Daphnia pulex: one gene and its partners. Each later gene encodes a partner of the first gene's protein in a complex. Links are inferred from orthologs where the notes say so. Each region holds a gene or a part of one and is shown in the gene's direction. Other genes may lie near its edges.

Region 1 (6,271 bases):
AGAATTTTACATAATAGATAATACCGCGCATAGCGCACTTTTTCAACAGTGTTTCAAAAGTTTCGCAAATTTCTGATATCATACAAGAAAAAATTATAAACATCTCTCGATCTCTGTCTCAATAATCCTGTATGTTGATATCGTGGTAATATTATGATCAATTAGATTTCATAATGATTACATATCACGATGTGGATGACTAATAGCCTGCCTCTATCCCATATCGCACCATACCGCAATAGATTCATTTTTATCGAGCTTTTTTTTTAAATTATGATTATTTGATTATTTGATTACGTGTAAGGTCACATTTCAATTTTCGTGTTATTTGTTTTTTTTTTAAATGCGTAAATTTCTTCTCAATGTCTCACCAAGAGGGCCATGAATTGGCAGGTGTGTTATTACACTGTTATAATCATCCTTTCAAAAATTTAAACATAATTTGTCATCTTGTTTAAGTTTAACTCAGGATGGATTCTGCTATCTACTGAAGAATTCAACGGTTTCTGGTTGTTGGACTCGGTGCGAAAAAAAAAAGATGTAAAATTAAATCCACGAATGAGTGTTCCTTGATTACAGTGATGTGTAATAAATGCAAATCATGAACTGATTTCGAAATAGCAGAGTGATGAAGGGTGGTGGCGATACGGAAGAATGTGGAAAAAGTTAGAAGTGATTCCGTGAATAACGAGTTGGTGGCAGCACGTTATAGGCGATGGTTATAGGAAGAGTGTGAAAAAGCTAGAAGTGCATCCGTGAATAGGGAACCATGCGTAATAACAGAAAATTTTTAGAATTATCGTTTGTTAACTTTTTATTTGATTAAAATCCGGTAGAAATGGTAATACCGATGATAAAAATTTCAAACAGATGAAACTTTTAAAAGTATAAAAACAAGGTTGACCAATAAGAAATAAAGAAACATTTCCTATTATAAAGCAGAGTGATACAGGGTAGTCTCTATCACTCTGTATAAAGTAATTGGAGAAGATATCGTAAATAAAATTTTCCTCAGTGGATAGGACTGCCGGAATAGTAAAATTAACTAGAAATTACATTATTTCGATTACTTCCGTTTTTAATAGTTTTAATAATTTTTTCAATGGTTTTCATTTTTGTTTTGAATTCCACACACTTCTCGGACAGCTGAAGGAATTTGGTATTATTTTCTTTTGGAAACGATAAAAAAACCACAACTAAAAAAAACACTACAACAGTTGCAGGCTTGCAGCTGGCAAAACTAACTTCCACAGATAAAATTCCGCATCCAAATTTGAAACTTCTTTAGGTAGCTCGAGTATAAACTTTCGCAAATTGCTGATGGATAACCTCTTCCACCGCAGTTCGAAACATGTTCTTCCCGTTCTCCGAATTCAATGGTGTCATCACTGCGGGTTTTGTTGTACACGAATGTTTATTTCCATGGTGCATACTTTATTTACTTTATATTTACTGTCACACACACCCCATACCTTCGATTCGACCTCGCGCGTAGGTTTTTAATTTTTTGGGCGGATTCATTTCGGTTAGCAATTTTTTTTCCCTTTCCTATTGTTATGAGGCTTTTTTTATTCCCTAACGAAAACGATTAATCGAAAAAAAATATCGAACCCAAAACTAAAAAGACACCTAAACTCCGCAAAAAAAGCCCTATCGGGAAACTCGCGCGCGCAGCAAGGGATTCATTTTCGTGTTTTTGGTTTTTTTTATTTCTTCTCATTTTCTACGAGAACCTCGCACCTCAAGGGCAAGCAAAAGCAGGCCTTTGAGGTACCATGAGAGATGCCATTCAGATTCAGCACAAGAGTTCACTTCAACTTCAGAGAGTGCCATAGCCATCACCAGACGTCGCTAGATGGCGGGTTTTTACAACTGACTGCCAATCGGCCATTGCCTTCTAAGTTCTAACCATCCTAACTCTATGGCCCCCGCGCCACCGACATGGCAATAGATAAATAGCATGGTGTATTAGTATGGTGGGGGAACTTTTGTTGGAATCGGCTATCTCGAATGAAGCCAGTTTCCGGACAAGAGGCGGAGCTTAGTGCAAAAGGCAAGCCAATTGCAGGGCTGGTCACCTATTCTTGGTTCAATTCTTTGGCATGTCATTGGTTCAATTCTCAAAATTGTCCACCAGGCAGCGCTGATCATAGGTGACCACTGGCTTCAGCCGAGATAGCCGAAGTTCCCCCACCATACTAATACACCATGTAAATAGAATTCATTGGCATATTTATCGTCTGCACGCTAGGTCTTTGGACGGCGTCACATTCCCAGAGACCTTGTTTTTGTGTATACATTGGTTTTGTGATCTAGTGAAAGAATTTCCTGAATTTCCCAAAATATATTTAAAATAATTAGGCCTACAGTGTATGAAGTAAGGTAGTAAAAAAAGTTTAAAAAAAATTTGAATTTAAATTTTTTTTGTAAAAATACATTCTAGTATAGCAATTCATTTGGTCCTTCCTCAAGACTCAAGAGGTTAGGTATAAAACTTCGGCCGAAATGAATGAGTTTCAGAATGAAGTTTTACGACAAGTTGTTGGACATTGCAGCCATAATATTGGCTGGAATGGGATTCATGCCTCTTCTTTAGACTTACTTACTGAAGTTCTTCAGAAATACTTGACTGAAACAGGCCATTCATTGCACAGATATTCAGAACAATGTAATTCATACTCCAAATATTTATACAAGTTTAATGCTACTAAAAATGGTTTTATTTGAAGTTGGACGCACAGTTCCAAATTTAGATGACTTAGGTTTGGTTTTTCGAGATATGGGTATCTCTATACCTGACCTTTCCGACTATGTTTGCAATGTTGAACCTACACCTTTCAATGAAGACATTTCTGCAATACCCATACCCAGAGAACATGCATTGAATTTCCTTAAACCAGGAAGCCATGAAGTCCTTTCCAGGCCTGTTCACATTCATGAACATTTACCTCCAATGCAGCATATAATCCTTGGTGAGATATATAAATGGTTTTCCATATATTTTCCAGCTAATAATTACAAACTAAATTATTTATAGGTGAAGACAAAGTTTCAGGGGATGAAACAGAAATTGCTGAAAGTCTTAATGTTTCTATTCAAGAAAATGTGGAACAAATTACAAGTTTGTCTCCACATTCTTATTCTTTTAAAAGACCTGATGGGGCTGAGAAGCGGAAAGGGTATTAAAACACACCTTGTGATATTAGATTACTTATATTTAAATCATTTCTGTCTTTTAGGGGGTGGTTGGGTGATGATGGGCAACCAATAAGAGAAATATCCAGTGTAATGATGACAACTTCAGGGTATCTCTCTTCCTCAAGAGAAGGAAAGTTACCAGAAACCAAAATTCGAAAAATATGTCCTGAAACCGAATTAGAAAACCTCCCTACTGAGAAAAAAATTAACATGAAGAAACTGTTTGAAGGCATTAAAAAAGCTGACGAGAATTCGAGAAAATGCGATGAAAAGGATTCAGATTTAGTGAAAAAATTAAATGAAATCATTAAAGACCGTGAAGTTGAAAACGAAGAAGGAAAAAAATTACAACTCGAACCAACCAAAGAGGCAGATGTTGAAAAAGAAGGAAAGAGAGAACGAAACAAAGACAAGGAACGTGTAAAAGAACAAGAAAAGGAAAGGGAAAGGGAGGTCGAAAAGGAACGGGAAAAGGAGAAGGAAAAGGCTGAGAAAGACAAAATTATTGCGAAAGAACAAGAAAAAGAGAAAATGAAGAAGAAACGAAAGGAAAAATTGTTGGAAGAATTTGCATTCTTTGAAAAAGAGAAGTCTACATCGTTTAAACCTTCAGAATCAATCACACCAGTTGATTCCACTAAGCAAAAGTTGAATATTTTCAAAAAACTTTCTAAAACCAAAGACATTGATAATCAGGCATCACGCGTCGCTGTGCCACCACCGCACCGCGTTCCCCCGGAAACCAACGAGTCTGAAAAAGGATCCAATGCATCGTTCGATGAAGTTGCATTTAAAGGGTTTTCGGATATAGCGTCGCTTTCTTCAAACAGTGAAGTTTTCCCCATTGAAAAAACCAAGGTTTCGAAAAAAGAACGCAAGCTAAAAAATAAAAAGGATCGTCATGGATTTGCTTCCGAAATCGGTATTGTAGACGGTCAAAGTAAGGGGAGACCAGGGGCTGATTTTTTTAAAGGAGATCCTGCGAGCTCAAAGGAGGAATCGTCGTTTCAGAGCGATTCAACAAGTGGTGGAAAATCAAGCCAAAATCAAGCCAAGATGGTGACTGATCATGGTGTTGACCTACCTAAAAGGAAACGAGGTCGCCCTTCTCGAATGATGACGCCCGAAATAAGTGAATCTCAAATATCTGAAGTAGTACCACCACCAGTGCACGCTGAATCACCCATTCCATCGATTCCGAAATCTTTTTTCCCCTTCTCCCCTCATTTTCCTGTTCCCGGATTGGTTTCCCAGCCATTTATTCAAAATGTCCCATTCAATTTATTGGGAGTACCTCCCTTGGGACTAAGATCACCTTTAGGGATTTCTCCTTCGAATATGTTGGCAAGCTTAGGACCCATACCTACCAACGTATCGCCATCCGATTTTAGCACAACACCCAAAGGGGATTCCACCAATAAAATACTTCCGTCACCGTCTCCAGCTACCAAGTCTCCTAATATTGTTGACAGCCTCCCTGAATCATCGTTACATATAGACACTTGTGAAAGTGACGCTACTTTATCGAAAAAGAAAGAAAAAAGAGATAAGAAAGAAAAAGAGAAAAAGAAAAAGGAGAAAAAAATCAAAGTTAAGGTTTCTGACGAGCAAGAACGAAAAACCAAACGGGAAAAGAAAAAAGAAAAAAAAGACAAAGACAAAGACAAAGAAAAGGACAAATGTAAGGAGAAAGAAGAAATAACTGTCCCTAAAATAACATTTAAATTTGCAGCTGCACCTACTTCACCAAATCCGCCCACGCCAGATTCTACTCCAAAACTGTAACCATTTTCATTTCTCTTCTTTTAAAATACCTTCGCTTGAAATTTCTTTTGCATATGTTTCTGTATTAGAATATTTAAAGCCATGGCTGGCAGAGAGGGAAATTTCACTACGGCTGCAAGTGGGAACCGAGACGTAATATCGCAATCGCCTGTCCAACCTTCTGTCGAAGTTGCAAAATTTTCTGCTTTGGTTACACGGCCTCCTAAACTGGTAAAAACTGTGAAGGAGACTCCAGCTATCAAACCTTGCGGGGAAACCTCGTTGGAGTCTCCATCTACTTCTCAAACGGCTCCCCCAGGGTCCCCTCGTACACCTAGTCCATCTCCGAAAGTCAGACGTGAAAAACCTCAAAAACCTCCTCGAGTCACAAAAGAAAAAGAGAAGAAAAAAGCCGAGAAACTTGGTGTTGGAGATGTAGCGGTTATTACAGAAACAGTTGGTTCTTACTATGTAAGTAATAATCTCTGGCCAAATTACTGTTTTATTACTTTTTTACCTTTGCAAAAATAAATGTTTAAGGACGAATTCGGGAACAAGATATGGATATGTCCAGCTTGCGGCCGTCAAGACGATGGAACTCCAATGATAGGCTGTGATGAATGTGACGACTGGTACCACTGGTAATTGTATAGTTTTTCTCTTCACTAAAACAAAACATAATTTATGTACCGGGAAAAACCCGAACTAATTTATATTAACACAAACATGATTAGGGTTTGCGTCGGGATTCGAGTTCCACCTGCTGAAACAGAAAGTTGGTTTTGTCAACGCTGCATAGCAAAAAAGCAAGGCTCTTTGAAGGACAAGAAAAAAGGAAGGAAAAAGAAATCGGTCTAAACTACATGTTTCTGTACATTATTTTTGTATAATTTGGCAGATTTATCTTTGTTTCTGCCAAGTTAACGTAAATTTTATTTTTTTTTTTTGGCGGGGGGGAGGATTGAATGGAATTATTTTTGTGGTGGTGACGCCGAGGATGTTAAATAAATATGAACTTTTTTCGATCGATTTAAGGTTATGTTTCTTATAAGGATTACTTTATTCGAAGATGGCAACCCATGATTCTAAAATCAAGGGAAAGCAGAGAGTTTTTTCATGAGAACTTCCTGACGATGCATGGCTATAACATCCCAATTTTTCTGAATTCCCAACATGATTTGCCGTGCGTACTGTAATAGTACAGTTAAAATAGCATTTTAACCTCAAACAAAATGTAAATATAACATTTTTTAGTGAACATTGTTTATATTACTGTTTTAGGAGCAGCGCCAAACCTAACAGAAATCCA
Region 2 (6,129 bases), on another chromosome or scaffold:
AGATGTTGGTGATATGTTCATAGGTATGTTAAAACACAAGTATATATACTGCTTGCTTTTTTATATTCCTGGACATTGTAAATATAAGTTAGAAATGCTGGTAATCTGGTTCCTCACTCGAAGCTGTATGGAATTGATTCAGCTACCACTGAACCAGCAGCCCTGGAGCTGGGGTGCATTGTAAATAATGTGAAGCACATGGTTGTTTGTGGACACTCAGATTGCAAGGTCAGTCAACCATAAACTTGTTAAATGATAACATAAACATAATGACACACAACTTTTGTTTCAGGCTATGAACCTATTGTATAGTTTTAAAAAAGGAATTGAAACCAACATGAGAACTCTCGAGAGATCTCCACTTAAAGCTTGGCTTCATCGCCATGGTAGTATTTCTCTAACTAAATTTGAGAGGTTAGAAGTGCATGGTTTCCAACAGCCCTTGACTTTCCCAATGGAGGGACCATTCAGACAATTTGTTGCCTACATAGACCCTGACAATAAATTTAGTCTAACAGATAAGCTCTCACAGGTAGAATTATGCCAAGTTATGTAATGTCTACAAATCTAATTGGGTTATCTTTTTTCAGCTCAACACATTGCAACAACTACAGCATATTGCCAGTTATAGCTTCATTCAAAGTGCCATAAATTCGGGGCGAGTACACCTTCACGCGTATGTATCATGTATCAAACGTTTACTCGTAAGTGTTTAATGTTGAAATTTATGATACTAGGTTATGGTTCGACATCTATACCGGAGACATCTACGTCTTTAGCCGCAAGCAAAAACGGTTTGTGGAGATAAGCGAAGAGACATCCGATTATTTGCTCGATGAAATACGCGAATACTTTGTGTGACCTTAACCGACGTGCCTCGGGTTATTATGCTGAAGAATATATGGAAATCTAGGTATTTTTATAGAGATGACGCACATCTCCTGAATTTATATGGGGAGTTCGATTCTAAAGCTATTTTGTAAATAGTGAGAAGTTAACTATAAAATAAATTGTTGCATAACTTTATAATGGAAAAGAATTTGAACAATTCGAAAAAGGAATTGCACAAATATTTATCTATTTTACGAACCTTTGAATGAGGAAGGTTTTCAAAAAGAAATGCGAAAGTAGAATAGTATACAGGATGGTTACCAACAATATTAAGCAATCGCGCAGGATACAGAGTGTAAATTGTTAGCTCACGTGTTTACTGAGAATCGGAAGATGAACTGCTACTCGAGTCCGTAGACATAACGTCGACATCTTCATTCTCTTTCTTGGGATTTTTGTGATCCATTCCACCACTCACACCCAAGTGTGAAACTGACAAACAGGGCATTTGCAGGTCATTTTGAGATAACCAACTATAAGTGCCTGCTTGAGAATTCGGAACTGAAGACCCCTGCTGCAAAGAATGATTAGGACGATGCAAAAGTTCTGGAAAACTCATGTGTCCATTGACATTCATTTCACCAAGACGGCCCAAAAATCCTAGCCGCATTTCAATATCTGAAAACCACCACAAAACAACATGAAACTACTGGACAGCAATTTAAAAAAAAATTTCTACCCGTGGGATATGGTCTGCGTAAATCTCCTTGCTGCCAATTCAAAGGAGCACAAACAGCGTTGGAAGCCGATATTCTGTGAGCAAATTTTATCAACTCTTCGGAATTTACAGGTCTGTTATTCGCCCGTGTGATTGATTGCAACTTTTGCTTAGCTTGAAAGATTGCAGTAGCCTGAAAAAGAGTAAGTTTATGAAATACTAAAACCAACAAAATAATTAAAAATAGCTTACTAATAGCTGCTCTGCCTCCTTAAGCTGCTTTTGAAGATTTCGAATCTCAACATCATGCCTTTCAACTTCTGTCTCTAAGGCAACTACTTTTTGTTGTAATACACCTTGTTCTTCAGCCAACTTAATAAAAGAAAGAATTAGCATTGAAAAAAATTATGAAAAACAAATAATTTTACCTTAAGTGTTGCCTTAAGATCAGTGTCTTTTTGAAGAACCAATTCAACAAGTTGAGAGTGTTCAGTACTCATAGGTTTCTGCTGCTTCTGGGCTATTAAGTTGTCCAAAAGTTCCCTAATAAATTAAAAAGATTAAGTTTAGTACAGTGACAATTATATTTTGGAAGATTAAAATTCAATAATCAAATTCAAAACAGTGTATGATACAAACGAGTGTGACAAAGTGTTCTGAATTTCAGGTAAACAATGGTATGATTACCTAATAAGATAAATAAATATATCATGCTAATGAACAATAGATAGATCTGAGGCTTTAACTTTCATTAAAAAAATTTTGAAGGAAGAACAATTGCACTACGTGATCAAAATAGTCGACGAACAAAGGCAGCCAAATCAAGAAAAACTTACTTTGCGATGATTTCGATATCGTCGATGCAAGTAAGCAATACTTCTCTGGTACTTTTTTGAGAAGTCATGTCTAGTTATTTTTATTCCTTTTTATAGAAATAGTTATAAAAACAGGTAAGTGAAACTTTCCAATCAAAATTAGTTTTTCTTGAATGCGGCTCGGCTACGGCTGCAACAACAACTAGAGAAGTGAGGTTGCCATATCTAGATTTAACCTGACCACGTATTTTTTTAAATTTCCTTATCCTTTATTTATGGATTCATTCGGAGTCGAATCACCGCTCTACAACGTGATTTCGTTAAAAGAAACTAAAAAATATAATAGTAATGAGATATGTTTGAAGTGTATAATAATGCAACACTGGCGACGATTTATGAATCGAATTTCGTAAACATAAACAGACAGCAGGAATCCGCTGTTCCGCTCTTGATCGTCTGACCCGCCCAAAGTTTTCCGAGCAATTTCTCAAAAACAAACTCCGGAAAGAGTGAAAAGACATTCATTTGTTTGCTTGGGTGAGTATATAGTCCAGCAATTCGACTTTAGAATCTCCAGTTATGAGGACTTTAAAACACATTTTGTGTTACAGATTCTTGGTTCAGTTCCTGTCTACAAGAATGTCGAATGACAAGTCTGTCAAAGTTAAGGTTGGAGAAGAAGAACGAGTATCGCAAAGTTTATGCGGTTGTTCGGTCGGAAAATTTTGGAAATGGAAGTACAGTGTCCATAAACAATGAGCAGAAAAAACAACTAGGTATAGAAGGAGACTATCATGCCGGGCATATCATTGCCAAAATGCTTGGAGGATCGGGATCGGACGTAAATAATCTCGTCCCCATGCACAAAAATTTCAACAACAGTGCCTACAAATCTTTCGAATTTGAAGTCCGCAAGATGATTGAGGATTCTGAAAAATTTTACCCCGGAAAACAAGTAGAAGCTCGTATCACTGTTTCCTTATTTTACAATCAAGGTTCCAATAAACCATATCGAATCAAGTATGATGTTGCCATGTACGCTAACGGCGTAGAAAAGCCGAGTTACGTTGGAGATTTCAAACTGAATGAAAATGGACGACACTAATTTAAATCGAGGAAATTTTTGCTTTGACGCTTTTTGCAGAGCTATAACTCTGGCTTTTTGTAACCAATAAACATTTTTCAATGTTGAATGCGTAATCAGGCGCCGCGCAATGTATTTTTTTTACAAGAAAGCAGATTTTAGTACGTACAAGAGTGCTTTTACAGCCATCTGGCAACCGTTTTCGTTACTAACCTACCTAGTGTCTTCTGCAGTGGTTGATTTGTTGACGTTTATTGCTCGAAAATTCTCCAACCCACTAACATTTACTCGTTTAGTAATCAAATTTCAAAATGTCTTCTCCCTCGGTGAATACTTCATTGACTTCGTCCCCACAGAAAGAAAGAGACAGCAAAGAAAGAGAAAATCCAGATGAAAACTATGATCAGGTAATTTTCTTCTTTTAAGTTACATTAAATCTTAAGTAATTTCCAGCTGAAAGTTTTGCTGGTACATATAACATATTGCTGGTGGAAATTTTTGTATTTAAATTTGTTTTAATGCTTTACTGTTCATTTAATTTCTAAATGTTTCAATTTCTAGTTTGATGATGATGAACCTGATTTGCATTATGGATCCACTTCATCAGGCAGAAAGCGCCTCTTCAGCAAGGAACTTCGTTGCATGATGTTTGGATTTGGTGATGATCAAAATCCCTATACAGAAAGTGTTGATCTGCTGGAAGACCTTGTTATTGAATACATCACTGAAACGGTAGGACTAATACCTTAAAATTTTTTTCAAACTGTGACATCTGATTTGCTATCTTTGAATTTTATTTATCAAGTTAGAATGCAAAAATGTTTATTTTTGAAATCAAATGCAAATGTTTCATCGTGTTATGGCAATTCACAAAGAGTCGGCAACCTGATTAGAATTCTATAACATGGCAAATGACTTTATTGACATTAACTATTTGCATTATTACTACTTCAGACGCACAAGGCCATGGAAACTGGACGGACAGGCCGAGTTCAAGTTGAAGACATGGTGTTTTTAGTTCGCAAGGACACGCGTAAATTTGCCCGCGTCAAAGACCTTCTAACCATGAACGAGGAGCTGAAGAAAGCTCGTAAAGCTTTCGATGAAGTCAAATATGCAGGCGTTTCCTAATTTTCTATCCCGAAAACGCGTGAACGGCCTCATTTATGTATCCTGCAGCATCCAGCAACCTTTTTTAACAATAAATAAACTTTCGTCATTTTTTTCAATCCAAAATTTCGTGTGAATTTTCAAAGAATGTATCACCTGAGTGTTTCCAAAGTAAAGTCTGACGGTCCGCAAACACACGCAAAATTGGAACCGTCGTCAGGACAATCCCTACCTAAAATAGTTGTGGCTAGTATAGAATTGTTGATTCGGCCTCGAAGACCTAACCATTCTTCATCCGGCTCAGACAATACGTGCCATACTTTAAACCTGTTGAAAAATTGATATAGATGTTTCATTAATGTGAGGTTAGAATGAAATTTCGGTTTTTCTACTTCTCAGGATATTTAAGTTCTAATTCCCGAAACTCTTCTTTCCAGATTATGTCTTCTTGAGTTCGGTTGAAGAACAGTAACATAACACGCCTAAATTAATCAAAATTGGTATTCAAATGAGCTTAGTTCATAAGAGATTAATCGACAAAAACATCAAAAGGGGTACCTATTATTGCGTAAGGTATCGATTGTTATTCTGACTAATGGCGTGATCCCCGTACCTGGAATTTTAATTTATTAAAAAAAGAATGTAATTTACTTAAGATGTTTGCTATTGGTTAATATATCACGGGAGGGCAAATATGAATAAACAGAACAATGTCAACAAAGACAAGGCAACAATGGGGGTCGTCCAACAATGCTAATACGTACCAGCGGCGATAGCTACCACATTCTTGCTCTCTAATTGCGATTCTAGGAAGTTTCCAGTTGGATCACTCACTTCAATCGAGCTGTTACCCTCAGCCAATCGATCCAATGCCGAAGTAAATGGTCCAGCAGGGTAGATTTTGATTAGAAACTGAAGCGAACTAGACGCTTCAGTTTTAGATGGGCAGTCTGTTGTCTTGCACGAAGAAAGATCAGAAACAACAGGAGTGTAGCTACGGATTAATTCACTTCCATCTAATGATTAGAAACGTGAAAATAAAAAATAAAAATAAAAAACCCTTTTTCAAGATCACGCATATGTGCAATCACCTTCCAGAGATAGTTTGAGTTGAACATGCCAACCAACAGGGACGTAAAAGTCTTGACCAGTAGGAAACGTCAAAGTGAATAGAAAAACATTGTGATTAACGCGCAATTTGCGTGTTAAAGTGGCCTGGCGGAAGAATGGTGAGGCTTGGCTTAACGGCTGAAACCCTTGGCTGACGTCCTCCAAATCGCCCAATTTCTGCCAATGGAGTGCAGTTTGTATTTTGCGCAATACCAATTCCACTTTGCCCGTTGTCAACGATACTGTAACCTTACAGGAAGATTCGACAACTTCGGCTAAGTGAATTTGATAATCGTAACAGCGTGACCAATCGTCGCTGTAGATACGAATACGGAAAAGTTTCCCGTCGATAGACGTCGACACCCGGTGTGCGTCAAGTCCTTTTTGTCGCGTATAAAGGACGACAGTGACGCTGGTGGAGTTCTGCATCCAATCGGTGGTGACAACTCCAATAGAAGGCG
Region 3 (6,201 bases), on another chromosome or scaffold:
TGCAACGTCAAGCCTCCCCTAACATTGTCATTGCCTTGGCGGGCAACAAAGCCGACTTGGCCGCTAAACGTGCTGTTGAATTTGACGAAGCTAAAGGCTACGCCGAAGAAAACGGACTTCTATTTATGGAAACGTCAGCCAAGACGGCCATGAACGTCAACGACATCTTCTTGGCTATCGGTAAATTCAACTCATTACTCACATGCAATTATTCTTCTCTATGTACATCTTTCTTTTTGCACTTGACAGCCAAGAAACTACCTAAGAACGACGGAGCTGGAGGTGTTGGCGGAAGCAGTGGGCAGGGTAGGAGGCTAGACAGAGCTGAAGACGGCAACAAACCAGCTTCCTCGTGCTGCAAGTGATCACGAAATAATTAAACAACAAAAAAAAGAAACTAAACAAAGAAAAAAAACACATACTACACACATTTATGAAAGACAACAAAAACAACAAAAAAACCATATATTAAAAAAAAAGAAAAAATCATCCGTTCTTTGTTTTCTTTGTTTTTTCCACACGCGGGGATCCAATTCCTTTTCTTTCTTATTATTATTTTTCCCTAATTTTTTTTTTTGTAAACCATCAAAAGGACTTTTATATCATATCCCTTTACAGCATCCCCCTCCCCCCATCAGAATATAATTTGCAGCATTTAAATAGTTACAACCTTTTTTGGGGATTATCCGTTGTGTCGATCGTTTATTTTTTAATTTTTTTTTTATTCAAACGGAGCAGCGACATTCCAAATTAAATGGCGAATTTGAATTGGAAAAGAAAACAAGGCAAGGGTTTACAAAAAATAATGGCCTGACTCTGTATTATTAAATCTCCCGACCATCATCAACCATGTTTTTTTTCTATTTTGGTTTTTACATAACACACACCTTTTTTCCCCCCACGTTTTTACTTCAAACAAACTTGTGTGATGGTTCTTTTTTCTCGTGTGTAGAATTTCTTCCCCCCGTTTCTTTTGTGTATACTCGAACCTCCCCCCCGCCCTTCAAAACTTTTGTATATCAAGCTTTGTGAAACCTTGATTACCTTTTTTTTTTTTTATATACAAATCAATGTAGGTGTTCCACACATTTCTTCTCTATATACCTATTTAGCTTTTTCTCTCCTTGATCATGATCGTGGCCCTCCCAATATCTTTCGAATAATGTCCTAACTTGGATATCGTGTAAGTAACGCTGCTATATCAGGAAATGTACATTTCTTGCCTTGCCCGTTGATTTCATTTCATTCTTTCTTTAATTGGCTTTACTGATACTGATAAGCCTTTGCACTTTGGAAGTTGAAATGAGTGGAGAAATAACGAGAAAAATTTGGATATTCTTGTGAAAAGGCGAATCTATATTGATGCACATGGTACAAATACGAATGACATTTCACAAGAGGTAATTTTTTTTACAGCCAAATTTCAGCAGCTTTTGTCCAAGTGGGAACTCGTGGTGGTAATTAGTTTTCTGGTTCTGGATGACAGCTGACCCAGAATTACCTAGTGAAAGAACAGAACAGTTAGAGACAATTTACACGGCGTCATTAAAACTAGTGAACTTACCTAAGAATCAGACTGCCATTTGCTTCCATGTGACTGCGAGTGGTTGAGAATGGATTTACTTGGAGCGAGCACGCATCTTCCTGCGCTTACGCTTAAGCCTACGCATACGCTTCTTACGCCACTAAAGAAAGAAAGAGCCGGCCATTAGATTCACAAGCCTCGAGACAAGCATCACAGTACACCGATACATGAAACACATAGAATAGGTAGAAAAACGATAATTACCTTAGCTCTCATGATGCAGTCGGTCTCTAAATGAAACAAGGAAAACGAAACAGTCGGTTAGAGATGTTGAAAACGAGGCAATTGTTGGATGATATTGGATTTTGTTAACTCAGTAAAACCAAGAATGAACTTACCTAGGAAAGACTGCAGAGAAGAGTGAGAGAGCCAGTGCCTGATGGTCTCCTACATTGCCTATTTCCGTTTCCACTCCTTTCTTTAAAAATAGTTGAAATATTATATCGTAAAACATATTAAAACCTATATTAATTTGATGCTAGAAAAATTAGCAATTTTATTATGGGTAAAGTATTGTTTTAATTAATATTTTAGTAAATAAATTTGATAACTGGCACAATGCAAACCCGCTGTCGGGGTTGTTTACAACGAAAAAAAAAAGGAAAAATGGAGTTCGATATGAATCAGATATCTCAAACAAGTAATTCAAACGCGAAAATTGAAGCATCTGAAAGTCAAAACAGTGAAGTTCCAAGTGAAAACAGTGCAGTTCAACCTGTAGAACCAGAAAATGTCGACTCCAATACCCTTGCGGCCGTATTACAGTTTCTTCAGAAGCACAACCTGAAAGTAACTGAAAATGACATGATTATTTTTAAATTTCGGCGTCTCATTTATTTACAATGTATTAGGGGACGGCTGATATTTTGAAAAAAGAAGCACGGCTCAAGGAGGATCAATTACGAGATGCACAAGCTCTTCAAGTGGATTCAGAGGCAACAAATTTGCTCTCATCATACAAGAGCGAAGGAGACCCAAATGCCTACGAAAAAGCTTACCTAAGTTACAGGAGATTTGTGGAAAGCTCGCTGGATGTTTATAAAGTATGGTCAAAAGATATTCAACTCAATTTCAAATAATAATTTCAATTTGTTTACTTTTCAGCATGAGCTGTCCCTAGTATTGTACCCTTTATTTGTCCACATGTATTTGGAAATGATTTACAACCAACATGAATCAGAAGCCGCTAAATTTATGGAACGTTTTTCAACAGATCAGGAAGATTATTATCAGGATGATCTTAAAAAAGTTTCTTTTATTACCAAAAAAGAACACATGAAAGGCAGTGATCTCATGGAGAATTTCAAGTAACAAATCACTTTTTTTTTAAATAAAATCGTCAATCATAAAAACTTAAATTGTTAAACAGATCAAGTCAGTTCACCGTTCGAATGTCCCGGGATACTTACTCGGTTTTGAAGCGGTTTTTGCAGGACAAGAACCAATCAATTGTCATGAACGTCATTCAGGAACACTTGTACGTCGACATGTACGAAGGAGTGCCGAGAAATAAAGCCCAAGTTGAATCCACAGCCGGAGCCATGGAAGGCGAGGCCAACAGACAAGGTACACAAATCAAGAGATTAGAAAGAAATCCCCAAAACAATTACCAATTCTTTTCACTTACAGTAAACAAGACCAAAATCTACTATGGTCTGCTCAAAGAGCCCGATATCCAGCTTCCGGTAGTCGAGGAGGAAGAGGACGGAGAACCCGGCGAAGGTGGTGAAAAGCCCAAAAAGAAGAAACCCAAAAAGGATCCGTTGCTCAACAAGAAAGCCAAGAGCGACCCTAATGCTCCACCGGCCAGCCGATTGCCATTACCAGATTTGTAAGATGCAGATGCAGTGAAAAATGGTGTGGAAAAAAAGGAAAATGGTTGAGCTGTGAGTTTCTGTTTCAGGAGAGATATCGACAAACTGGAGAAGGTCAGGGCCCTACGAGAAGCCAGCAAGAGGGTGGCTCTTGGTCCAGACAATTTGCCGTCCATTTGTTTCTACACGATGCTGAATTGCGCGGAAACGTCAGTTATTCTAATTTACCTGATTTTTTCCATTCAATTTGAAATTATAATTTTTTTTCTTTTTCCCTTTTTGTGAATGACAGGGTCACGTGCGTCGAATTCTGCGAGGATTCGTCACTATTAGCCGTAGGGTTTTCCGATTCCATCCTCAAAGTTTGGAGTCTTGTACCCCAGAAACTCCGGGCCATGAAACCGGCCGAGCAATTGGCCGATATCGACAAGGAGGCCGAAGATGTTCTCGTTCGTATGATGGACGACAAGACGGGTGAGACTATGAAAGTCCTTCACGGCCATTGCGGGCCGGTTTACGCTGCCTCGTTCAGTCACGACCGGACGTTACTCTTATCATCGTCGGAAGACGCCACGATCCGGCTGTGGAGTTTGCAGACGTGGACCTGCCTGGTGGTCTATAAAGGCCACATTTACCCCGTGTGGGACGTGAGGTTTTCCCCTCACGGCTACTATTTCTCATCAGTCGGACATGATCGGACTGCCAGACTTTGGGCCACCGATCATCACCAGCCTTTAAGGATCTTTGCCGGCCATTATTCAGACGTTGACGTGGTCCAATTCCATCCCAATTCCAATTACGTCGCCACAGGTTCCAGCGATAGGAGCGTCCGTTTATGGGATTGCGTAACTGGCAACTGTGTCCGGCTAATGACTGGTCATAAAGTAAAAACATTTTCATCCTTTTTATGAGTTTGTTTTTCTTTACAAGTTTTTTGTTTGTGTAGGGAACCGTCTCGGCGTTGTGTTTCTCCACCGACGGCCGTTTTCTGGCATCCGGTGGAGCTGATCAAAAAGTCCTGTTATGGGATCTGGCTCACGGTCACTTATTGGCCGACCTGCCTGGGCACACGATGACAATCTCCAGTTTGGCCTTCAGTCGAGACGGGACCGTGTTCGCCACGTCTTCCCTGGACGGCTCCATCCAACTGTGGGATTTCTTCCGGATGACGGATGAGTCCTCTTTAGAGGACGTCAACATCTCGGGTCACAATCCAGACCTTCTCAAGCGGAGTAACGCCATTGAATCGCTCCGCCTGGCACGTTACCCGACCAAAGCCACTCCTGTCATGTCATTGCATTTCACGCGGAGGAATTTGCTACTCGCTGCCGGCATGTTTGAAGGCTAATCCCTCGATTCACACCAATTTTTAAAAAATAATAATAAGAATTAAAATACATATAACTTTGTCTCTTATTTCCACAGATCCATTTTGTTGTTGTCAAGTCGGGAAAAACCAAATTCTGTCGAGTTGGCTACGTATTTTTCGTAAACGTGCCTAGTGAACCTCGAGACCGCTGTATAAATAGAAGATAATCGACCTGGTTTTTTCCGAGTCGATCTAGAAGTTTCCAGTTTGAGTCAGTCCGAATGGTTAAATTCCTATTGCTACGCAGTGAACCTTTGAATTTGAACCAAACCTTGGAAAAATCCCAAAGAACTGTTCAAATATTAAAAGAAAAACGAGCAAAGTCTAGACCATAAAATGGAGACTTAACGGGATAATAAAATTCAAATTTCTTTGTAGACCAAATAAGGTTGGAGCTAGACAAAAGTCACACGTAACTTGTTTCTTTGGACACGTATAGCGACCGGTCGGTCGTCATGTGTGCACACATAATTTATTATTTTTTCGCCAATAATTAATTTTAATTGAATCAGAAAAAAATCCCGGAAATTTGATTTAGTCCCAAGTGTATTAAAATACTGTATTCTTATCGCGTTGTCGTTCAAAGATTCCTTCAACAGAAGAAAGGAACTGTTGATTTATTATCACACATAAGGGAATGACGCAATCGGCTGTGTAGGCCCCAACACACCAAATGTGGCATAGCAACATTACATGTATACATCAAACAGCTTTGCGTAGGGGTAGCCAAAAAAAGGGATTTTAACTGAAATGACTCGACAGAAAGTTGTCGGTTGGGGGGCTCGGTTCGACCAATGCCAAAACATTGTGTACGTGTCCCAGTTTATTCGCACGTAACAATGTTCGTCAGCGAAAATGTTTACCATTCGTATAATGAACGTCAGCTGGCGCAGTTGCCATGCAAAGTCAACGAATACGTAATATATTTTTTCGCCAGAAAAAAGGGTGTGTTAATAGGGAAAAGAAAAATGCTAAAAGATTTGTGTACGGTTTGGCAGCAGCAGTTAAAAAAAAAAGCCTCCCTCCAGTTTTTCGTGACACGAGTTGAGCACGTGAACAGCTAGTGGTTGGGCTCGTCTCTGATTGGCTGGCCATTCGCTTGTGGCGCCAATTTGATCGCGCGGGATATTCCGTCAGCGCGGGCTCAACCCACCACGTTTTTTATTTTTCCTCTCCACTTCCCCACGTTCTCTACACACACACTTGTGTGTGTGTTCCTTTTTTTATTATTCCCAAACATTTTCTCAAAATTTTACACAGTCAGACCCTGTTAAAAGCTAAAAGATTCGGTACTAGTGAACCACAGTCGTTCACGTCGTCTTCAAGTGTTCACACACACAATCGTCTAAACTCCTCCAACCGTGTATCGTGCGATTATCAGGATTATTTCACGCCGCATTTGACAAGCAATATTTTTTTAAATAAGTTTTTCC
Region 4 (5,594 bases), on another chromosome or scaffold:
ATAATATCAGCCAACATTCAAAGCTTTGTTTCAAAGTTTATTTTCCCATAGGGAGCTGAATACTAAAGTACAACTAAAGCAGAAAGCCGACGAAGAGTTAAGAAAATGTCGACGACTCCTAAGCACTTTCCGCCTTGAACTCCAGCAAACCAAGAAGGAATTGAAGGAGAAAGAAGAGCAATCCAGCTTGGCAGAAGAGGATATTAAAAGATATACTACAGAAAATGCAAAACTGCAAGAAAAGCTTAAGGCCCTTACGGAGTCGATCTCATCGCCGAGTGGTGATCCTCGCAACTCTGCGCTGTCTCGTCTAATCAATGAGAGTCCTGCGCCGACTAACCTTCGAATGTCTAATCTTCTCATGACAACGCCATCGTCACCTTCTACTCCATTAGTTCCGCTTAGAATGAAACCTTCGAACGTTCCTTCGTCTAGATTGATGTTGTCATCGCAAAATATTTCGAGCATGCAGCCCAAACTTAGCAATCCTGAACAAGAAGAAGCAGCTTCCAGTACTCAGCGAAAGGAGGCTCGCAAAGCTAGCAGTTCATCCGCATCCGTTGATGGTGAATCCCTGAAGTTTAAAAAAATGAAAGTCGATCCAGTACCGTCAACTAGTGGTTATTTCTATGATGGATTTGGAGGTCACGCAAAACCCGAAATTTACCCAAAAGGTGCCGGTTCCTCCAGTTCATCACTTTCAGGCACTAAAAAGAAGAGAGGACCAGTTACAATGAAAATTAAAGGTAAAAACTGTTAATCATTACTGAAATAGGATATTTAACGACGTTTTTTCTTTACAGGTAAAACGCAGACCACGACCTTAGATTACTTTTACTCTCAATAATATAAATTGAAGATGTTAATTTGCTGCTAATAGTCTATCCGTCAGATGTCCAATACAAATTATATTTTGTACAGATTGTCTTAAAATATATAACTGGCGTAATAAAAAACAAATTGGTCTTTTTTGTATCCTTGTAGATTTAAGTAATCTGCTGCATGAAGCCATGAACAACAATAGTCGGCTTTTTTTGGCAAAACAATTCTATAAGTCTTATGATTTAGTTATAAATTATATTACATTAATTATAAATTTAGGTAATAGATGAAAAGGTAGAATCAAGATTTGTATTTAGAACATTTTGTTTTACACAAAACTTAATCCTCGCGAATTTGAGAAACTACTTTTCGGCCTGGTCCTTGCGGTACTTGGCGACAATCAACTGCTTAGCAGTGCTCAGATTGCGTGCGCGCGATTTCTTCATGTTCCTCAAAAACTTGCGATCGACCTGCAAATGAGGAGAAACATTAAAACTTCAATCTCAACTAACATTGGTTAAACACATACATGGCACGAAAAGTTCACGTCAAGTAACTTAGAATGAAATTTATGGATTTCAGTGAACAGTAATCAATATGGGCTTGATTTTTAAAGCAACAAGGAACTACAAAGAACCTTCAAAAGTATACTAAATAACCAATTCTAGTCAATTTGACAAATGTTCCAAGTAACTAAAGAAACAAAAATCTTACTCCTTTGTTGGATGGGCACTTGTGAGCCTGGGATTTCTTGATGCCATTACGATGATGTTTACGGTCTGTAAATGAGGAAACGTTAAAACGTGTCTCCAAATATATAATTTATAAACTTACTCTGGTTGTGATTTGTGTGATTCTTGGATTTGGCCATTGTATATAGCTGGTGTGGCTAGATAATCCTGTTTAGAAAAATAGGAAGTTTACTATTTACGAACACGGAAAAACTCACAAATGTCGTCTATATAATGCTTTAATTAAACAGAACATTTTTGTAAAACTATATTATGGTAAAATCCAGATGAAAGACGATAAAAACTCACTAGGACGACGACGACTTACAAGTTCAGAACCAAATGAAAGAATTGACGGCGAGTGAATCTGACGAAGCTTTCAGGTGCCGCCGCTGCACCAATCCTAGCGACTGTTTAGCAACGACCAACGACTGTACTGCTAGTTTTGTTGCATTGTCAACAAAACCATTCAACAAATATTATAATTCAATAAAAAATCATTTCTTCTATAAACCACAACACCGAGAATGACTACTACTGTTTCAGAACCCATCATGTCTGGAGCAGCTTCTAGGTAAAACATTTAATATACGTGTGGTGAAAAACAACTTTTAAAAGACTAAAATACTGACAAGGATACTCAATCTTTTTTTTCCATGTTACAGTATTTGATGTCAGATTTAGACAGACCTTAATAATTAGGTGTTTTACACAAATGTAATTTATCTTAAATATTTGTAGAAGGAAACTGCTTCAGGCCAGTGTGAGTTGTTTGTGTAGTGAGGCAGGCTTCAGTGCAGTAGATGAATTGTCATTGGAGACCCTTACCGAGATGATGCAGAGCTGTAAGCATTTCTATCTATCAAAGTAATCATATTTGTTAAAAACCTTATTTATTTATTTTCTTTCTACAGTTCTGACTGAACTTGGTCATAGTAGCCGTCTTTACTGTGAATTATCTGCAAGAGTGGTATGGGTTATCTAAATTCTTCTCTGAGTTATAGGGTATAATCAGTAGTCAAGTTATATGTTTTAATTTTAGGAACCTGTTGTAGGAGATGTTGTTATGGCCTTGGTTTCAATGGGAATTAAGCACAACTCTTTGGAATCATATGCTCAAAGAGCAAGAAGGCTAGTTTTACCAACTCCTACTCAAGCTGTTGCAACCAAACAAATTGGAATTTTACAAACTGGTCAAAAGAGACCACATCCAAGTCATATCCCAGATCATTTGCCAGCATTTCCAGATTCACATGCATATGTTCAAACACCAGTATGTTGTTTTCCATATTTGTCATACATTATATTTTTTAATAATTATTGTTTTTTAAGACTCACAAACAACCTATTACGGACTACGAAACTATTCGAGAAAAGGCATCCTGTCAAAAGCGAGATGTGGAGAGAGCACTGACGCGCTTTGTCGCTAAAACAGGGGAAACGCAGAGTTTCTTTTTGGTCGAAGATTTGACGCATTATCCCCGTAAGTAGAGGACGAAAAAAATAGTAATGTATACCTTTTTCATTTAAATATATTCTTTGTGTCCTAGTTATTGCATGTAAGCCAATGGATAAACCGTTTTTGTCCGCCCTTCTCCCTCGCGATCAAACTTTTGAAGAAGACGAGGCAGCCGTCCACATGCAAAAGCAAGAAGAAGCAAATGCTGAAGCCATTAAAGCCGCCAAGTTGGATCAGGAGAAAGAGAACAATGAAATGATGGATAACCTTGGACCTAATGGCTCACTGATGGAAATGTCAAATTCAGAACCATTTATCATGGAAAATCCATTCATCAGACCAGTTAAAATGCCTTTTTCAAAGAAAAAGAGCTCCCCATAACCACAATCCATATTGTTAAATTTAGTTTATTTTTCGTACTATTTGTGTATCAGCTGTCATCTCATTTTTTCCATAAATGTGAATATGAATCTTGATCAAATGTGTCTTCAATTTCCTCTTCAATCTTGACCTTTTTCTTTGGCTTCCTTTGGGCCAGTCGTTTTTGCTTCTCAGCTTCAGATAGCATACTCAAGTCCAGAGGCAGCTGTTAATGGAAGTAAAACAAACATTACGTCCATACTTATTAAAAATAAAAATAAATTTGCCTTTATTATTGCGCGAGGTTCATTATAATGTACGGTTATTGTAGAACCGTCAGGTTGTACAAGCAAAGTTGGGTATGTTCTCACGTAGATAGATCGTCCAATACTACCGATTGACGCTCTATGAGCATTTAATTGCCTGGTCTGAATAACTAGAGGTATGGCCAATCTAAATATATTATAAAGTATTATAGTGAGTGCCTCCACGTGACCGATAAAGTTTTTATTACCTAAATTTCGTTAAATATCGTGACATTTTCACAAAGTTGTTGAGTACCACTTGCAGACGACTTTGTAAAATGGAAAAATAAGACACCTAGCGATAAGAAAATAAAGCTATATCCCGCACTTAAGTAGGGTAATTTTCAGTTTTTGGTTATTATATACAATGCTGTTACGGCATAAGGGGAATTGTTTAAAAATTTTAATCATTTTAAATGTAATAGGATAAATCTATTTGTATGCACTGTAATGAAGGAACAATTGAAATTAAATTAAATGATTGATTGAAGCTGAAATCGGAGCTTGTGGTTAGAAAATATCAAATTTTCAACTATTGAGATACGCGATAAACATATCTTTGCAGTTGTTGCGTTATACATGCAATATGCTCCTTCGTACGTTTGGTATGTTGTACAATTTATTAGACGTATTATTACATACAACCTGTCATTTACGATTCATCAAGCAAACAACAACTGCCACAAGTAAAAGAGGAGGGTTGATTGCCAACGTCGTAATTCGTAAACGAAAGTCTCGCGCGTCTTTTGGTCCTGGCAAACCGATCGGCCGGATGACGCAAATCGGAGAAGGTCGAACCAAGAACTTTTCTTGGTCACTAGTGGCCAACCACTTCATGCATAGCATAGTCCGGTTTAGCGCTTCTGGCCGTGGAGTTCACCTACTGACGCTCCAAGAATAAATTTCCACCTTCTTATCAATTTTAATATTCGTCAAGAGAAGCAATGAAAATCTAATTTGACAAAACCAATCACAAAGGTCTGCGTTTGTAAAGATGTTTGGGAAACTTGGTGATCTGGGTACTTCAAAGCACGTCAATTCGTGACGTCAATTCCAACAAATTTAAATGGGAAAAAGTCCTCATGCAGGACATAACATGGTTGCTTGAAATAATAGAAGCTGAAAAACAAAAAACAGTTTTATCTTAGAAGCCGACAGCTCAAACAAAGGCTGTCAAGGAACCATTTGATGCGAATGAAGGATTGACTGAAATTAAAATTCAGATGTCTCCTTTCTCACAGCAGTCTAAAACGCTAAACCAGGAACCCGGACTATAGCCAGCACGAGCGTAGAAAGTTGTACCTTTGCAACACATGCATTCGTCAGTCGTCACTGATGGATTATTGACAGGGGAATGACTCGGAGAATGATTCAATGATTCGCAAACGAGCCGGCAGCTGCCGGTTGCCACAGGTGATCTGTCAACCTGTCCAAAGTACTTGATTCGATTTGATTTTTTCTCTTTGCGGGGAATTAAATTGATGAAATCATACCTTTAGAGAAGAATAGTACGCACTGGGGAATATTCATGATTCATTGCAGCGTGGAGATGACGATTCGTCGCACTTCCTGATAGGGAACCTCATCTGTCCGTTTCGGATTTCATTCCAGCGGCTCACAACCGCAACACAACTGCCATTCGCATTAAGAGAAATCGTGAGCTGCAGCCAGATTTAAGGGTTATCTTCGGTCTCCCAATTTTCGCCTTTTATGTGCTAGTTGGTTTATCTCAGGCATTTCGTTTTTTTCTTCTTCTTTTCCTTGAAAATGATTTAGGTTAAACATCATGACGGTTCCTTGTTATTCAACTCGAGAATTGGCATCGTAATCAAACAGGGAATTGCACGCGAGTCCCAGCCCACGACCAACTGACAGCACACAAAGTAATGGCATATCTGCGAGCTTGTAATGTCGGCA
Region 5 (5,860 bases), on another chromosome or scaffold:
TGTTTGGTCACTGGTAAAGTCTTTAACAAAAATGTCATTCTATTTAATTGAATTTTTGAACTAAACAAAATTAATACTAACTTCATATCTTGTATAAAATTTCTTATTATAGGACAGTGCTGCATCATTATTCGGTTGAAAGTTCTGAATGGGCATCAAAACTAGTATAAAAAGGGGTATTTAATCATAATGGAAGTTCTTATAAAAGTTGAAGAAACTGAAATAGTTGATGTTCAAAACGGTCTAATAAACAAAGAGGGAACTGAAGAAAATAAAGAAGCTCAAGAATGTTGCACTAGCAAACCGTTGGTGCATACAGTTGAAAAAGAAACAAAAAATACTGGGCACTCTAGCCGTGATAAACATCTTTGCACCGAGTGTGGAGCGAACTTTGTATCTATGCTAAAGTACATGGACCACCTTAATCGTCATACTGGGAATAAGCCATATGTTTGTGAAGAATGTAACAAACAGTTCTTTACCTTGTCATATTTAAGAAATCATCAAAAACTACACTCTGCTGACTATCAATTCATTTGTGAGTTCTGTGGCAAAGCTTTCAGATTAAAAAATAATCTGCAAATGCACGAACTGACTCACACAAAGGAGAAACCATTTAAGTGTGATCTTTGTGATAAAGGTAATTAACCATTGTGGATCTTAGTTTTTAAATTTACTTACTAATTCATTTTGCGTTTAGCATATACTCACCCAATGAATTTGAAGATACACAAACAAGAACATACAGGTGCGAAACCATTCCAGTGTGAAACTTGCGGTAGATGTTTCCGAACAACACACCGACTTAAAACCCATAAAATGTCTCACACAGGTACGGCTGTCAATTTTTTATAACCAGAGCACATTGCCAAATTGAAATATCTATTATTATAATATGAATTTACAATTTAAACTAGGTGAAAAAGCTTTCAGTTGTCTAAACTGTGAATCAAAATTCACAAGCAATTCTAAAGTAAAAAGACATATGAACCTCCATTGCAAATTTTCCAAAGGAACAAAGCCACCTGCTGGTGATGAAAATGAATAACTATAGACCAGGCTAAATCAATATAAGATTGAATTAAGTGTCAAATGGTGATAATGAAAATAAACTATGAAATATGGCAAGGACTGTGTAAATTTTTCATCCTAACTTTTCTATTTACACAATACTTCTACAAATAAAGAACAATATTTTACTTCTTTAGAACAAGACTTTCCAAAACTGAGTGAACTTTCTCAGCAGACAGGTTCATTACTGGGGCACTTACTTCCAGGCCTTTCTCTATAAATTAAAAAGACAATTAAGGTAATTTTTACTATGAATCCAAATTAGAATATGTAAACCAACCATGTCGGGCACAGATTTTTGGCAGGATACCACTGCATTCCCTGATGAGGATAGGTGTTTTGGGATTGGTTTTCTTCAAGTCGATGTAATGCTTTTCAATGAAATCTCTAAAATGAATAGTAATAACACCATGAAGATGAAGAGTTAAAATGATAAAATTAAGGGAATGACTGAATGAGACTATTCTCTACGATTACACCATGATTATACGTCTACACAGAATAATTCACGTCTTTCACAATAAAAGATTATTCGCATTTTACATTTCATTTAACACACTCTTCATTTACCTAACCCCTTTGCTGGCGTCTGACTTTTGGCAAAGATGAATCCGAATCTCTTTCACATGGGGCAAAATTTTTACTGCTCTAGCGGCTGCCATGTTGGAAAAGTTTTTGCAGACTCGACAACAAAACAAACTCGAGAATCGAGATTCGAGATATCTTGCTCTTGATCCTAGCGGCGAGCAACAAAAGTAAAGAGTTATTTCTTATTTGAAAAGTATTCTGATCCCCGTTTTGTCTTAGATAAATTTATTTTCTCTTTAAATTACCAATTATTAAATAGAAATGAATCCTGGAACAATAGTTTAGTAATACAAAAGTATGAAAGTATAGCAACGTCTAAAATACAGTACAACGCTGACGTTGCTACACGGCCTACGCCTACAGTGACAGTCCGACATTGTTGTGGCGTCTGCTCGTGAACGACGAATCACGAATATTTGATTCTAATTTTTATAGTGACTCGTGATATAATAATATTAGTGGTAGGCTCAATTGTTAAAAAATGAATAGACCTACAGTTCTACCACCTAGCAGTACAAATGATAATGGAGGAGATGAGTTGGAAAATCAGTTTATATTGAGACTCCCACCAACCTTACCAGTGAGTTCTTTGGACACTTGTATTCACATTATTATTGTCTTAAACTGAAATTCTTTAATGTGTTTGTGGTAGGAATGTGCCGAAAGTTTGCGACAAACTCTAAGGACAGGTGTGATGAATCTGAAGGACCGCCTAAATATTAGAATGGATAATGACATGAGGAAAGGACAGGTTCAGTTTGACAATTGGACTATGTCTGCCAAGGTGTTATTCTTAATTAGAGTATTTGATATTCAATTGTAAAACAAATATTTACTTAGGTTTTAGATCTTCCATGTGTCATGGAATCTCAAAAAACCATTGACAATAAAACATTTTACAAAGCCGCTGATGTCAGCCAGGTGAGTAATAATTCAATTCAAATTCTTAGAATATTGATTTTACCTGATATTTAAAATTTGAAGATATTGATTTGTAAAGAAGGAGAACAACAGTCAAGTAGTGAAGAAGAAACTCCTGTTAAACCAAAGAAAAAAGATCCTCATAAGGTCGATAAAAAATTCCTTATGCCTCACGGCATAGCTCCACCAATGAAGAATGTCAGGAAAAGGAGATTTCGAAAAACCCTTAAAAAGAAGTACGTTGAGGCTCCTGAAATCGAAAAAGAAGTCAGGCGCCTACTGCGTGTTGATAATGAAGCGGTAAGTGTACGATGGGAACTGATCACAGAAGAAGATGAATCTAAGGTAAAGGCAGCCAATGAAGCTGGGTTGGGAGATGGGGCAGCAATGACCGTCCCTCTTGCATCCGGAACATTCGTTAGCACACAAAACCGTGGCTTGGGTATGTTTTGTAAAAACCAACGGTTTTCAGCACTCGTTCAAATTGCTTCATACTTCTGTTATCTATAGCCGAACACGATATTTTTGGTGAGGCACTAAGCGACTCAGATGAAGAACATGGAAGCAAGATCAACATTATGGAATCAGACTACGAAAACAGTGACGAATCCCGTGGATCGGGTTCGGAGTTCTATGCAGGAAGCAACAGGGTACCAAATTTAAAATAATTAAATTTGTTTCGATAGTTGTTACATTCTCTTTTTTAGGGGTCCAATTCTATGATAACCCAATTTAGCGGAGATATGTTTCGGGATGACAGCAGTTCTTCTAATCTATCTCCACAAAAAAAGGTCATCGACACACAAAAAGGTAAACATTTCAAATTTGTTTTTCTGCTTTAAAAATTAATATCATTTGTCGTTAAGACGATTTGCAAAAAATGGCTGATAAACTGAGGGATGAAATCCGTGAGATCAAGAACATGAGACAAGCTCAAGAAAACGAGCTAGCTACAATTGAAAACGCCGCCCTCAAGCAAAGATTTCAGATGGCTCTTTCAAAACTTGTTGCTCAGGAACAAGAGAAAAAGGAAGAGGTGATCTCTATTGTGTTGTTTATTATTATTTCAGCTATTTTTAACAAATTGTATTCTAGTATGACCAAATCATGTCCATGTTATAACGGACACCTCTGGATAAAAGCTGAAATGGACCAAACCTCAAGGATAGATAAATCGATGGATCCATCCGCCTTCAGAATGTCTGTCGGGATTGCAATGGCGCCTGTTTTGATCCCTTCCAAAATAGATTGTCGAGTGTCGTTTAGTTGTGCTGCCAATACACGAGCGTCTTTTTCTTCTTTACGTTCGCGTATACATTGGTTTAATCTTTTTCTAAGAACTTTGTCGATATTGTGAAAGATGTTGTGATCGTTGCGTAGTTTGCTTTGCTCGGACGCAAGCTTCTTTTCTTCTAGAGTCTTCAATGTTGAGACAGGACTATCCACAGCATTCTGGATGTAATTCCATATCTTGTTCAATATTTCTGTATCATTTAAATCAATGTGTCCAATCGTCAAAGAATTTTCCCACGCTTCACAGGGATCTTCAAATTTGGTGTTCATTTGAGTGATTACAATGTCAGGAACACGGCTGCTTTGCGGACGACTGTTGTTTTGGAGTAACGCTTCAGACACTTCGCATTTGACATAAATTTGAAGGTAGCCTGTGTAGAATTTGGCCGCTAACTGATGATATTCATACCGCATACTTCGATAGTAGTTGTTATCATCAACAATTACGACACACTTTTTGGAAGAAGGATTGGGCACTTTCAAGAAAGACTCCACAGTGTCTTTCATCTCGCGACGGTAATGCTTTGTTATTTCACTAGATGACGAAACAGCAATTTCAGCCTGTTTTTCTAAACTCACAATAGTATCAAAAGTTGCACAATTCACAATGCAATTGTTTTCTGTTAAAAAACTACATAATCTTCCTGCTAACCAGCTCTTTCCACTGGCAGGCAAACCTAGTAACACCACAATGCAATAACACTGATTCATTTCTGTCCTGTTGGTATGTGTCACTATTTTACACAACTTGAGGCTCTAAAGATGAGGTCTCTTGTGAAACATGTTGAGGCTCAGTTTCTGCTATTATGACTGACTGTGCAACTGTGTTAATTTCAGCAACTTCAGGAATAGTTTCTGCGACTGCTTGTGGTGGGTTAAGTTTCTCCATCTCTTCCACTCGCTTTTGCACAATTAGAGGTTGAACTTCCATATACACAGACATGATTTTATGGTTGACTCTAATGTTCTTCGTTGAGCACATTTCAACACATTTATCCTAAAAAAAAGCAAAAACAAAAAAATAACTATTGGTCTGATATGTTATGAAAGAGAAACCTCATGTTCTTAGCCTACCTCATCTTCAGTCAGCTCTCTAGTCTGAAATGTGTTCACGCATCGCGTGAAACAAGTTTCTGACATTTTGTTGAACACTAAGAGAAAATCTTTAAACTAGGAAGAAGAGATCAATTAACTTTCTGGCATTAATTACAATTCAAATACATTTTCTAAAAACTTACGTTCCTGAGTGCATCCATTTCGAATTACTTTCCACAAATTGACAATTCATGTCGTCTGCAAAACATATGGCTCACCGGGTTGCCACATTAGCCGAAACGTCAACATATCCGTATTTTGTTTAAAAAAATTTAAAAATTAATTTACTTGTTTATCTATTGATTTCGAGTGTAAAATGCTTTATTATAATTCTTCATTTTTCAAATAACATATACATAAATTTGTTAAAAGACGATTATGAGGGCGATGAAAACTGCAAAGGGGAAACGGGATCGTTCCTTGCTTTTGAGGAGAGCTAGCGAAGCATGCATTGACAATAGTAGACCCCGTCAAAAGCAGATGACCCCGGTGTCAATTAAAAATAATTCAAAAAAAAACACGGAAAACTAGGTAGTGGCAAAATATCGCAAAATTCAGAAACTATTCACAAAGTTGCTAATTCTCGTGATGGAAAATCAATCTATAAACTGACCAAAGGAACGAAGCTCATCTCGATAGCCAACATTTACGTTCTCGTTTGAATGGGATAAAATGGTGAAGAATAAGAGCGAGCAAATTATTAGAGCCGCATGGACTTTTGCTTGTTCATGGTATTCAACATCAAGGAGATGTAGGAGGTGAGCAAGTCGTCCATCTTGTAGCCGAGCGAGGTTTCGCACAGCAATTTCGATCCTCGCACCAGGTTGCCGATAGTCATGTGGAAGTAAGTGTTGCCCGAAGACCAGTTGGAGATGCGCGTGAACGGGTGAGT

Evidence for each region.
Region 2: transcription initiation factor TFIID subunit 3-like (region 1) and transcription initiation factor TFIID subunit 13-like share a complex: the UniProt entries of both Homo sapiens proteins name them as parts of the TFIID basal transcription factor complex. The link is inferred for Daphnia pulex from reciprocal best matches to the Homo sapiens genes TAF3 and TAF13.
Region 3: transcription initiation factor TFIID subunit 3-like (region 1) and transcription initiation factor TFIID subunit 5-like share a complex: the UniProt entries of both Homo sapiens proteins name them as parts of the TFIID basal transcription factor complex. The link is inferred for Daphnia pulex from reciprocal best matches to the Homo sapiens genes TAF3 and TAF5.
Region 4: transcription initiation factor TFIID subunit 3-like (region 1) and transcription initiation factor TFIID subunit 8-like share a complex: the UniProt entries of both Homo sapiens proteins name them as parts of the TFIID basal transcription factor complex. The link is inferred for Daphnia pulex from reciprocal best matches to the Homo sapiens genes TAF3 and TAF8.
Region 5: transcription initiation factor TFIID subunit 3-like (region 1) and transcription initiation factor TFIID subunit 7-like share a complex: the UniProt entries of both Homo sapiens proteins name them as parts of the TFIID basal transcription factor complex. The link is inferred for Daphnia pulex from reciprocal best matches to the Homo sapiens genes TAF3 and TAF7.

What each region holds. Positions count from the first base shown.
Region 1 is NC_060019.1:5,266,629-5,272,899, forward strand, and holds transcription initiation factor TFIID subunit 3-like, read left to right. Parts: upstream 1-2,197; 5' UTR 2,198-2,377; exon of another isoform or gene 2,378-2,382; intron 2,383-2,443; 5' UTR 2,444-2,505; coding exon 2,506-2,668; intron 2,669-2,729; coding exon 2,730-2,972; intron 2,973-3,037; coding exon 3,038-3,179; intron 3,180-3,239; coding exon 3,240-4,979; intron 4,980-5,051; coding exon 5,052-5,433; intron 5,434-5,502; coding exon 5,503-5,603; intron 5,604-5,696; coding exon 5,697-5,820; 3' UTR 5,821-5,991; downstream 5,992-6,271. UniProt on the Homo sapiens protein: The TFIID basal transcription factor complex plays a major role in the initiation of RNA polymerase II (Pol II)-dependent transcription.
Region 2 is NC_060026.1:12,376,129-12,382,257, forward strand, and holds transcription initiation factor TFIID subunit 13-like, read left to right. Parts: upstream 1-2,766; 5' UTR 2,767-2,901; intron 2,902-2,975; 5' UTR 2,976-3,759; coding exon 3,760-3,855; intron 3,856-4,009; coding exon 4,010-4,180; intron 4,181-4,253; exon of another isoform or gene 4,254-4,402; coding exon 4,403-4,579; 3' UTR 4,580-4,583; coding exon of another isoform or gene 4,584-4,638; 3' UTR 4,639-4,684; downstream 4,685-6,129. Other genes in the region: beta carbonic anhydrase 1-like, read left to right, coding at 1-23, 89-228, 293-532, 591-676, 738-861; mediator of RNA polymerase II transcription subunit 4-like, read right to left, coding at 1,208-1,509, 1,571-1,742, 1,802-1,921, 1,978-2,092, 2,386-2,453; cytochrome b5 reductase 4-like, read right to left, coding at 4,584-4,638, 4,715-4,885, 4,951-5,040, 5,117-5,171, 5,323-5,574, 5,650-6,129. UniProt on the Homo sapiens protein: The TFIID basal transcription factor complex plays a major role in the initiation of RNA polymerase II (Pol II)-dependent transcription.
Region 3 is NC_060026.1:1,543,216-1,549,416, forward strand, and holds transcription initiation factor TFIID subunit 5-like, read left to right. Parts: upstream 1-2,156; 5' UTR 2,157-2,191; coding exon 2,192-2,374; intron 2,375-2,436; coding exon 2,437-2,628; intron 2,629-2,689; coding exon 2,690-2,892; intron 2,893-2,954; coding exon 2,955-3,151; intron 3,152-3,214; coding exon 3,215-3,416; intron 3,417-3,488; coding exon 3,489-3,608; intron 3,609-3,691; coding exon 3,692-4,283; intron 4,284-4,345; coding exon 4,346-4,747; 3' UTR 4,748-4,815; downstream 4,816-6,201. Other genes in the region: ras-related protein Rab-5C-like, read left to right, coding at 1-180, 250-365. UniProt on the Homo sapiens protein: The TFIID basal transcription factor complex plays a major role in the initiation of RNA polymerase II (Pol II)-dependent transcription.
Region 4 is NC_060020.1:5,724,021-5,729,614, forward strand, and holds transcription initiation factor TFIID subunit 8-like, read left to right. Parts: upstream 1-1,965; 5' UTR 1,966-2,080; coding exon 2,081-2,127; intron 2,128-2,294; coding exon 2,295-2,398; intron 2,399-2,467; coding exon 2,468-2,523; intron 2,524-2,595; coding exon 2,596-2,826; intron 2,827-2,885; coding exon 2,886-3,036; intron 3,037-3,103; coding exon 3,104-3,393; 3' UTR 3,394-3,488; downstream 3,489-5,594. Other genes in the region: E3 ubiquitin-protein ligase TRAIP-like, read left to right, coding at 52-746, 804-847. UniProt on the Homo sapiens protein: The TFIID basal transcription factor complex plays a major role in the initiation of RNA polymerase II (Pol II)-dependent transcription.
Region 5 is NC_060022.1:1,980,385-1,986,244, reverse strand, and holds transcription initiation factor TFIID subunit 7-like, read left to right. Parts: upstream 1-2,016; 5' UTR 2,017-2,140; coding exon 2,141-2,239; intron 2,240-2,311; coding exon 2,312-2,443; intron 2,444-2,499; coding exon 2,500-2,580; intron 2,581-2,643; coding exon 2,644-3,022; intron 3,023-3,090; coding exon 3,091-3,230; intron 3,231-3,287; coding exon 3,288-3,390; intron 3,391-3,446; coding exon 3,447-3,616; intron 3,617-3,617; exon of another isoform or gene 3,618-3,675; coding exon 3,676-3,702; downstream 3,703-5,860. Other genes in the region: putative zinc finger protein 66, read left to right, coding at 166-640, 701-832, 918-1,048; NADH dehydrogenase [ubiquinone] 1 alpha subcomplex subunit 2-like, read right to left, coding at 1,197-1,285, 1,352-1,458, 1,642-1,733; L-seryl-tRNA(Sec) kinase-like, read right to left, coding at 3,697-4,584; mitochondrial import inner membrane translocase subunit Tim10 B-like, read right to left, coding at 4,613-4,870, 4,948-5,043, 5,112-5,129; myosin-VIIa-like, read right to left, coding at 5,669-5,860. UniProt on the Homo sapiens protein: The TFIID basal transcription factor complex plays a major role in the initiation of RNA polymerase II (Pol II)-dependent transcription.